Canis lupus familiaris: one gene and its partner. The protein of the gene in region 2 interacts with the protein of the main gene of each other region in a pairwise test. Links are inferred from orthologs where the notes say so. Each region holds a gene or a part of one and is shown on either strand. Other genes may lie near its edges. The genes, in order: MBD1 and CHAF1A.

Region 1 (3,377 bases), on a different chromosome or scaffold from region 2:
AACAAAAAAGAAAGAAATTAGAGGTCGTCTTGGTTCCCTGGACAGAGTCCTGAGGGTCAGTTCCTTGATCTTCGAGTCCCACGGGGCGACTGGCCCACCAGGTGGTCTGGGTGGAACTACCCCTCACACCACACCCTTGGGAAGGAAGGGAGGCAATGCAAAGGCCCTCGGTCAGGCGCGGGGTATGGGAAAAGCAGCAGAGATACAGAAAAGCCCGTCGGGCACCCCAGAGGTCGTACAGCCCGGAGGATACCGTTGAAAGGATTCCTGCAACAGGGGAAGCTGACCCTTGGCGACACTTTGCTGACTTGAACGTCCCAGCGTCGGTCCTGAGCTCGTCCTGTCGCACCCTCACCCCTGGCGCGCCCCATAATTTAACTCCGGTTCGGTTTTGCCTGTTTTACCTCTACGTGGAGAAGAGTCGGCTTTCCTCCCAGCCCCGCCAAAGATTGGTGTCTCGGTCGGGTGGAGGCCACGCCCCGGGGCCGCCCTGGCCAGGGTTGAGGGGCTGCGCGACTCCCGAGCCGGGGTGGGATGACGGTGGCCCCGGCGCCCCCTGGCGGGCCTACTCGGAGGGTGGAGGGGCGGAGCCGGGACCAAGGGCCAGCACCGTGAACCTCCGCCCTCAGCCAAGCCCCAAGGCCTAGACCAGGGATTGGCCCAAAGTCCTTGGACAGAACCCGACCTTGACTGGCCACCCACCATCCCGCTTTCTCAGCGTCAACATGGTTACCACCATCAAGACACTCCCCCCAAAAACACTAAATATATGAAACAGTAAACGGGACAGTAAAAATTATTTTAAAATAATTTTAAAATAGAACAGCTCAGAGATAGAAACTATTTATATTATTTCCAATTCCTATTGTGCCCCAACAAGGTTCACGCAAGGGCTGTCCTCCAACAGTTTCCTGAATTCTATATTTTCACCATTAAATTCCATGATAAAGTTGGATATCCATTCACCACTTGTAATACATACTGATGTATTTAATAAAATTGCATGGACTATTCTTTTTCATTCCTGTATCCCAGTATCAAGTACAGTGCCTACCATAGGCCAGGTTCTCAATACTTGAATGAATGACACAAAAATAGCCGAGACCAGCCAGTTTTTTCTGGGTGGGCTTGACAGTATCTCTGTACTTGCTGGGGTCACCATGAAATCCATGGTCTTCAGCTTTGCATTTTCAGCAACGTAGCTTTATCAAGTTATCCTCAGGTGAGCAGTGAGACCCTTGGGAGCTGATTCATGGCAGGGTGGCTTTGTAATGTGTCACCTTGACTAGGCTACATTTCCCAGAACTCCCTTCCCAGTATGCTTCCGGTTAGGATGGGCCACAAGAGACATTTTGCATGGTAATTGGAGGACAGAAGTGAAGCAGCAGCATACTGTTTTTACACTCGGAAGGTTGGTGCAGGCGCACCAGGCACTGTTGCAGTTCACACATGTTGTCACTTATCTGCTGGCTCACCTCGTTGGGTGTGGGCAGCAGTGAGGCCTGCAGCCAGGCCTGCAGCTGCTCCACTTTCCCTGGGATCTTCCTCCAGCTTCTCTAATTCCTGGACCAGATGAGTATTTAACTCTGTGATGAAGGGCACCAGCTTCTTCTGCAGGACACCCACATCATCGAAGTTGGAGGTGGTGAGACACTGACATGGGTTCTAGGCCATCCTCGCTGGTTCCAGCTCGTTCTCGTGCACGCCAAAGTGTCCTCCGTCTCCCACACTTTATATCCATCTTCCCTTCCTGATTGCCTGCCCTGCAGACTTCAAGCTCCAGCATTAGATGTAAAGACAACAGCCTTACAGAGACTGTTTAATCAGCTCCCACTACTGCATAAGCTCAAATCCCTGTAATTCCCTTAAAATATACATATATATACATATACATATATACATATATATATAATCTTTATATCAGTGGTGCTGTTTTTCCCGATTGTACTGTGATACACACTGTAACCAGGCTCTTAGAGGAGTCTGAATGCCAATCAAATAAATTTCATTTAGGACATCATAGAATACTAGTGTTGGATGGCTGGGTTCTGAGGAGAGCAAAAACAATGATCAGAAAATTACCCAGTCTCGACTCTGGCTCAAAAACGTAAGACAAAGGAAGGGGCAGAAGAGGGTAGCAAAAAGGGTTAACGGTGAGGAAATGTCTAGTCTACATCTGAATTCTCTAAAGCTACAAGGCTGGGACTAGAGTAGGGCAGGGGAGATACAAAGGCTACAAAATCTAAGCAGCATGCACTCAGTCATAGTCCTGTAAAGCTGACTATATAATGAACCCCAGGTCTAGACTTTTTGGCACTTTATAAAGAACTGGGAAGTGAGGCAGGGCTGAGTCAAGATGCCCTTATGCAGGACTCCTAGTAGAAGAGGGACTGAGGGCAGAAACCAAATGCAAAAGTCATCAAGGGGTAGGGAAGGCAAGTTGTCAGCAAAGATGAGCCAGGCTGGCAGCTTTACTTCCGAAGACTGCTTTGGCTGAGAATGAGGGCAACAAGCAAAATGGACAGTGAACCCTGGGGAAGGACATCCTTTAGTGTTTTGAGAACTCTTATGCAACATCCAAGGCCTCACAAGAACCCACCAGTCTCTTGAATGCATGGGTGCTGTGACAAAGTGACCCCAACCACACAGCCTTGGCATACCCTAAAACCATGCTAAAGGCAGCAATGTAAGAGATTTGTTCTGTTTAGTGACCCACCTTGCATTCAAGGTCACTGGAAACTTCTGTGACTATAATATTACACATTATCGTATTTGGATTACAGCTTAGTTTGGTGGCTTAAAGAACAAAGTTGTAAAACTTGGGTTTTATTGTCTAGGCTTACTGATACTAGCTGTCTGACACTGGATAAATTATTTAATTTCTTTGAGTGTTTTCCCATATGCAAAAATGGGCAAAAATCATGGTCTTACTAAAAAGATTTGAGTTTTAAATAAATTAGATCAGTAGAAGGAACTAACCAAATAGCAGTTCCTTTCGATTTATTCACATTACATTTTCCAGTGCTGTCTCTCTGAGGAAATGGAAATGTTCAAAAACACTGCCAGGTCTCATTCAGAAGCCACTGAAAAATTATTTACGAAGATGGCTTGTACAGGCTCTTTTCTGGTGACTTTTACATCCCCTCTTCACTCCACAGATCCCCCACCTGTAATATCCACACTTATCACAGTCAAGCTCCTGGGATTTGCACCAGTTGGAGCAGATGCAACAACTTTCTATTCTTTCTCTTCCTTTCCTGCTTACTTTCCTCTATTAGCTCGTAGTACTGAATAGGCCAGCTTCTCTGGTTTGGTGTAGGTTTTTCAAGTTCCTATTGAATCCTACATAAGACCCCTTGGTCTACAGTCCAGCCTGA
Region 2 (3,819 bases):
CTTCAGCCCAGGGCGTGATCCTAGAGTCCTGGAATCAAGTCACACGTCAGGCTCCCTTCATGGAGCCTGCCCCCCTCTCTCTGTCTCTCCTGAATAAATAAATAAAGTCTTTAAAAAAAAAATTGTTTCATAACAATGGCTATGTCACTTCCCAATTCTGAGGATTCTTGGGCTTGGCTCTGAGCATAAAAACAAACTTAAAAAATGAAGTGCTTGGGGCAGCCCGGGTGGCTCAGCGGTTGAGCATCTGCCTCGATCCTGGAGACCTAGGATCGAGTCCCACATCGGGCTCCCTGCACGGAGCCTGCTTCTCCCTCTGCCTGTGTCTCTGCCTCTCTCTCTCTGTCTCTCATGAATAAATAAGTAAAATCTTAAGAAAGAAAAAAAAAAAAAAAGAAGTGCTTAACGGACACCTCAGTGGCTCAGCAGTTGAGCATATGCCTTGGGCTCAGGGCGTGATCCCAGAATCCCAGGATCTGTCCTGCATAGGGCTCCCCCCACCCTGCCCCTCGCAGGGAGCCTGCTTCTCCCTCTGCCTATGTCTCTGCCTCTCTCTTGTGTCTCTAATGAATAAATAAAATATTTTTTTAAAAAGTGCTTAAGGGCAGCCCCGGTGGCGCAGCGGTTTAGCGCCGCCTGCAGCCCTGGGCGTGATCCTGGAGACCCAGGATCAAGTCCCACGTCAGGCTCTCTGCCTGGAGCCTGCTTCTCCCTCTGCCTGTGTCTCTGCCTCTCTTTCTCTCCCTGTATCTCTATGAATAAATAAATAAATAAAATCTTTATAAAAAAAATAAAAAATAAAAAATAAAATAAAAAAGTGCTTAAGAAGAATGAAACACATGTACACATGTCCCGTTTTCTAGGCTAACTGGCTTTAAATATGTCATACGACAGAGGCTTTCGGCAAAAGAGAAACAGCAAGGCAGCCCGGGTAGCTCAGTGGTTTAGCGCCGCCTTCAGTCCAGGGCGTGATCCCAGAGACCCAGGATGGAGTCTCACGTCGGGCTCCCTGCATGGAGCCTGCTTCTCCCTCTGCCTGTGTCTCTGCCTCTCTCTCTCTCTATGTGTGCCTCTATGAATAAATAAATAATCTTAAAAAAAAAACCAAACAAACAGCAGTCGGGAAGAATTTCAAGCAATTGGCCAGACCAAGAAAGATAGCTGGCGGCAAAAATGGATTCTTCAACTCTGATTCTAAGAGTCTGAATAATGGCTCAGGTGGAAGTTTAAAAATGTATCTCCAAGAAAAAAAGATTGCTCCACCCTTGACACTTCGAAAACTTAGATAAAAGCCATAGAATCATCTAGAAAAATTAGTCCCTTAGAGATCAAATCTCAGAAAGTAAAATCAAGCAGATAAAGTACAGATTGAATGATCCAACACAGAATCTGATCTTACATTTAAAAAAACCCCAAAACCAAAAAACCTAGGGTTACCTGGCTGGCTCAGTGAGTGGAGCATACAACTTTTGATCTTCGGGTCGAGTTTAAGCCCCACATTGGGCATGGAGCCTAACAAAAATGCAATGTACACAAAAATTCTACAAAAAAACCCCCAGAAAAACAAAAACCAAAATACCCAAAACAAAGAACACTGTTAATTAAACACATTTCTGGATTCTTGGCTAAATTTATGTTTTACCCATAAGACCCTGCTGCCATTGTGCTAATCACAAATCAGTAATAGAAACAGGCATTTCATAAGTCATCCTTCTGTGATCCTTAAAAATGGTGCCAGGTTTTCCTTTTATTCTTGTTGCTCTGGGGTGAAGTTTTTCAGATATGTGGCTAGGCTGACAAGAACCGAGCCTACAGAATCCCCATTTTATTTCTCCTGCTGTCTTGGGGTCTCTTCACCAATGCTGCCTGACTCTTTACCATCAACACCCTTACAAGCCTGTGTTGGAATGGCAAGGAAAACTGGAGGGAGCTAACATTTGACATGAGGGGTCACAGCTGCCTGCTTACAAAGCGTTCCTAATTAAAAGTGCTAAGTTGACTAGCACCACTCATTAGGTGTGAACAACCATGGCTACCTAGATGACAGTTCACAGAAGACACTTTACACACTGGTGATTAACAGGGCCACAGGTACATCACAATGCACATTTAACCGAACACCACTAGTGGTTTTTTGATACCAAAAGAATTGTTTGTGGCCTGCTTAGCCACCAAACACCTGAGTGACACAGTATTCCCAGGTGAAGAGCAAGAGGCTGAATCCCGTCAGCACTGCCACACTGGCATTCAGCAGAGATACTTACTCTGCGGATAGGTGTGGAGGAGGGGAAGGGCCTGGGACTGCTGTGCTGCTTTTTGGAAGCAGACTGCCCCTCAGGTGAGCTGGTAGGAGAGGAAGAACCCCGGGATGAGTGGCTAAGAACAGAGTCTTCTTCAGGGCCAGACTCCAGCATCTCACTCTCAGAGGGCATGCCCTGGTGTGCAGGTGTCGTTGGAGACTTGGCTTGAGAAGGTTTCGCAGCCAGGATATCCTGCAAGACCACCACAGGCACCTTCCCTTTGAAAAAAATGCCCCCAGCTTCACTCCAACCATCCTGGTCCTTCTCGGAGCATGTTCTTGGACTAGCCGTCAGCACACGGCAGCTTGGGGGTGAGCCTTTCTGCCCATCTCCACTCCTCTCTGTGCCCCTTGAGCCAGCACCCTCGTTCTCTGTTTTGCACGGAGTGTCTGAAAGGGTCTCTTCAGGACACGTCAGCTCATCCTCCATACTGGCCTCCAGCAGCCCCCTGTCACCTCCAGCTTCTTCTCTGACTCTGCTTACAGCCTCCTCGGAGGCAGAGGCTGCAGAATTTAGTTTACTGTGGGCCACAACATCATCCAGTTGGTCATTTGAGTCCTCCGTCAAATCAATGATGACCATGGTCTGGTCAATACTGGTTTTGACTCTGCTTCTTAAAAAGTTATCTAAGGGACCCTTCCCATTGACAAGTTTTGGACTACCATCTATGTCAGAACCCGAATGACAGTTGTTCTCCAAGGTATCCAAAGAGGTCTCCACATCAGGTACTTGACTTTGTGCAGGAGTGCCCTCAGAGCTCCTCATGTCATCCGACCCGTCCTCGCTTTTCTCCTTTGGGACAAGATTCAGGCGCTTGAAGGGCAGACGAGCTGAAACATAGAGAGGAAGCCATCTTTACAGGGAAAGTGTGAAGAGCAACAGCCCATCAATAATTGAATATTCCAAATGCTCAACAAGTGTCAACCTGCTGGGATGGAGGTTGGGCCAGCAGATGGGGATTTCTGTAAACCACTCATGCCCTTGGGTTCCAGTTTGCCCCTGCCCCTCAGAGACTGTTGCTCTTCCTGTGACTCCCCTCAACACCAAACTTGCTATCAGTCATCATAGGAGGAGGAAAGCTGCTACAGGGGAACGAGATACCAAGTTTTAAAAACCAGAAGCCTCAGTTTTTTATATAGTCACTTAGCTAATCTAGCCTAAGAGTAAAAATACCAACCACTCTTCACACAAAAGAAGTTGAACACATTTATCTTCCTGTACAATGGTGGTTCAACCAAGGGCAGCTGTCCCTGCCAGGGATGTCTGGCGATATTATTGGTCATCATGATTTAGGTGAGTGACCAGGGATGCTGCTAAACCCTAAAATATATGGGACAGCCCCATATCCTGACAAAAAATTACAGAATGTCAATAATGCTGAAGTAGAGAAACCCTAGTAAAGGCAATAACCACTAGATGTGCTCCTGGGAACCTAAGAAAACAAGAACATAATCACATGGGTTCCCAAGGTTCTGATTGGAAGATGCAACCATTAATCTCCCCCCCAGCCCTTGAGGCT

The links.
Region 1: the proteins of CHAF1A (region 2) and MBD1 interact in binary tests that used the Homo sapiens proteins (3 or more experiments, as listed by UniProt). The link is inferred for Canis lupus familiaris from reciprocal best matches to the Homo sapiens genes CHAF1A and MBD1.

The regions. Positions count from the first base shown.
Region 1 is NC_049228.1:78,701,228-78,704,604, reverse strand, and holds the end of MBD1 (methyl-CpG-binding domain protein 1), read right to left. Parts: intron 1,771-3,377; coding exon 1,581-1,770; 3' UTR 774-1,580; downstream 1-773. UniProt on the Homo sapiens protein: Transcriptional repressor that binds CpG islands in promoters where the DNA is methylated at position 5 of cytosine within CpG dinucleotides. Binding is abolished by the presence of 7-mG that is produced by DNA damage by methylmethanesulfonate (MMS).
Region 2 is NC_049241.1:55,668,693-55,672,511, forward strand, and holds part of CHAF1A (chromatin assembly factor 1 subunit A), read right to left. Parts: intron 3,131-3,819; coding exon 2,265-3,130; intron 1-2,264. UniProt on the Homo sapiens protein: Acts as a component of the histone chaperone complex chromatin assembly factor 1 (CAF-1), which assembles histone octamers onto DNA during replication and repair.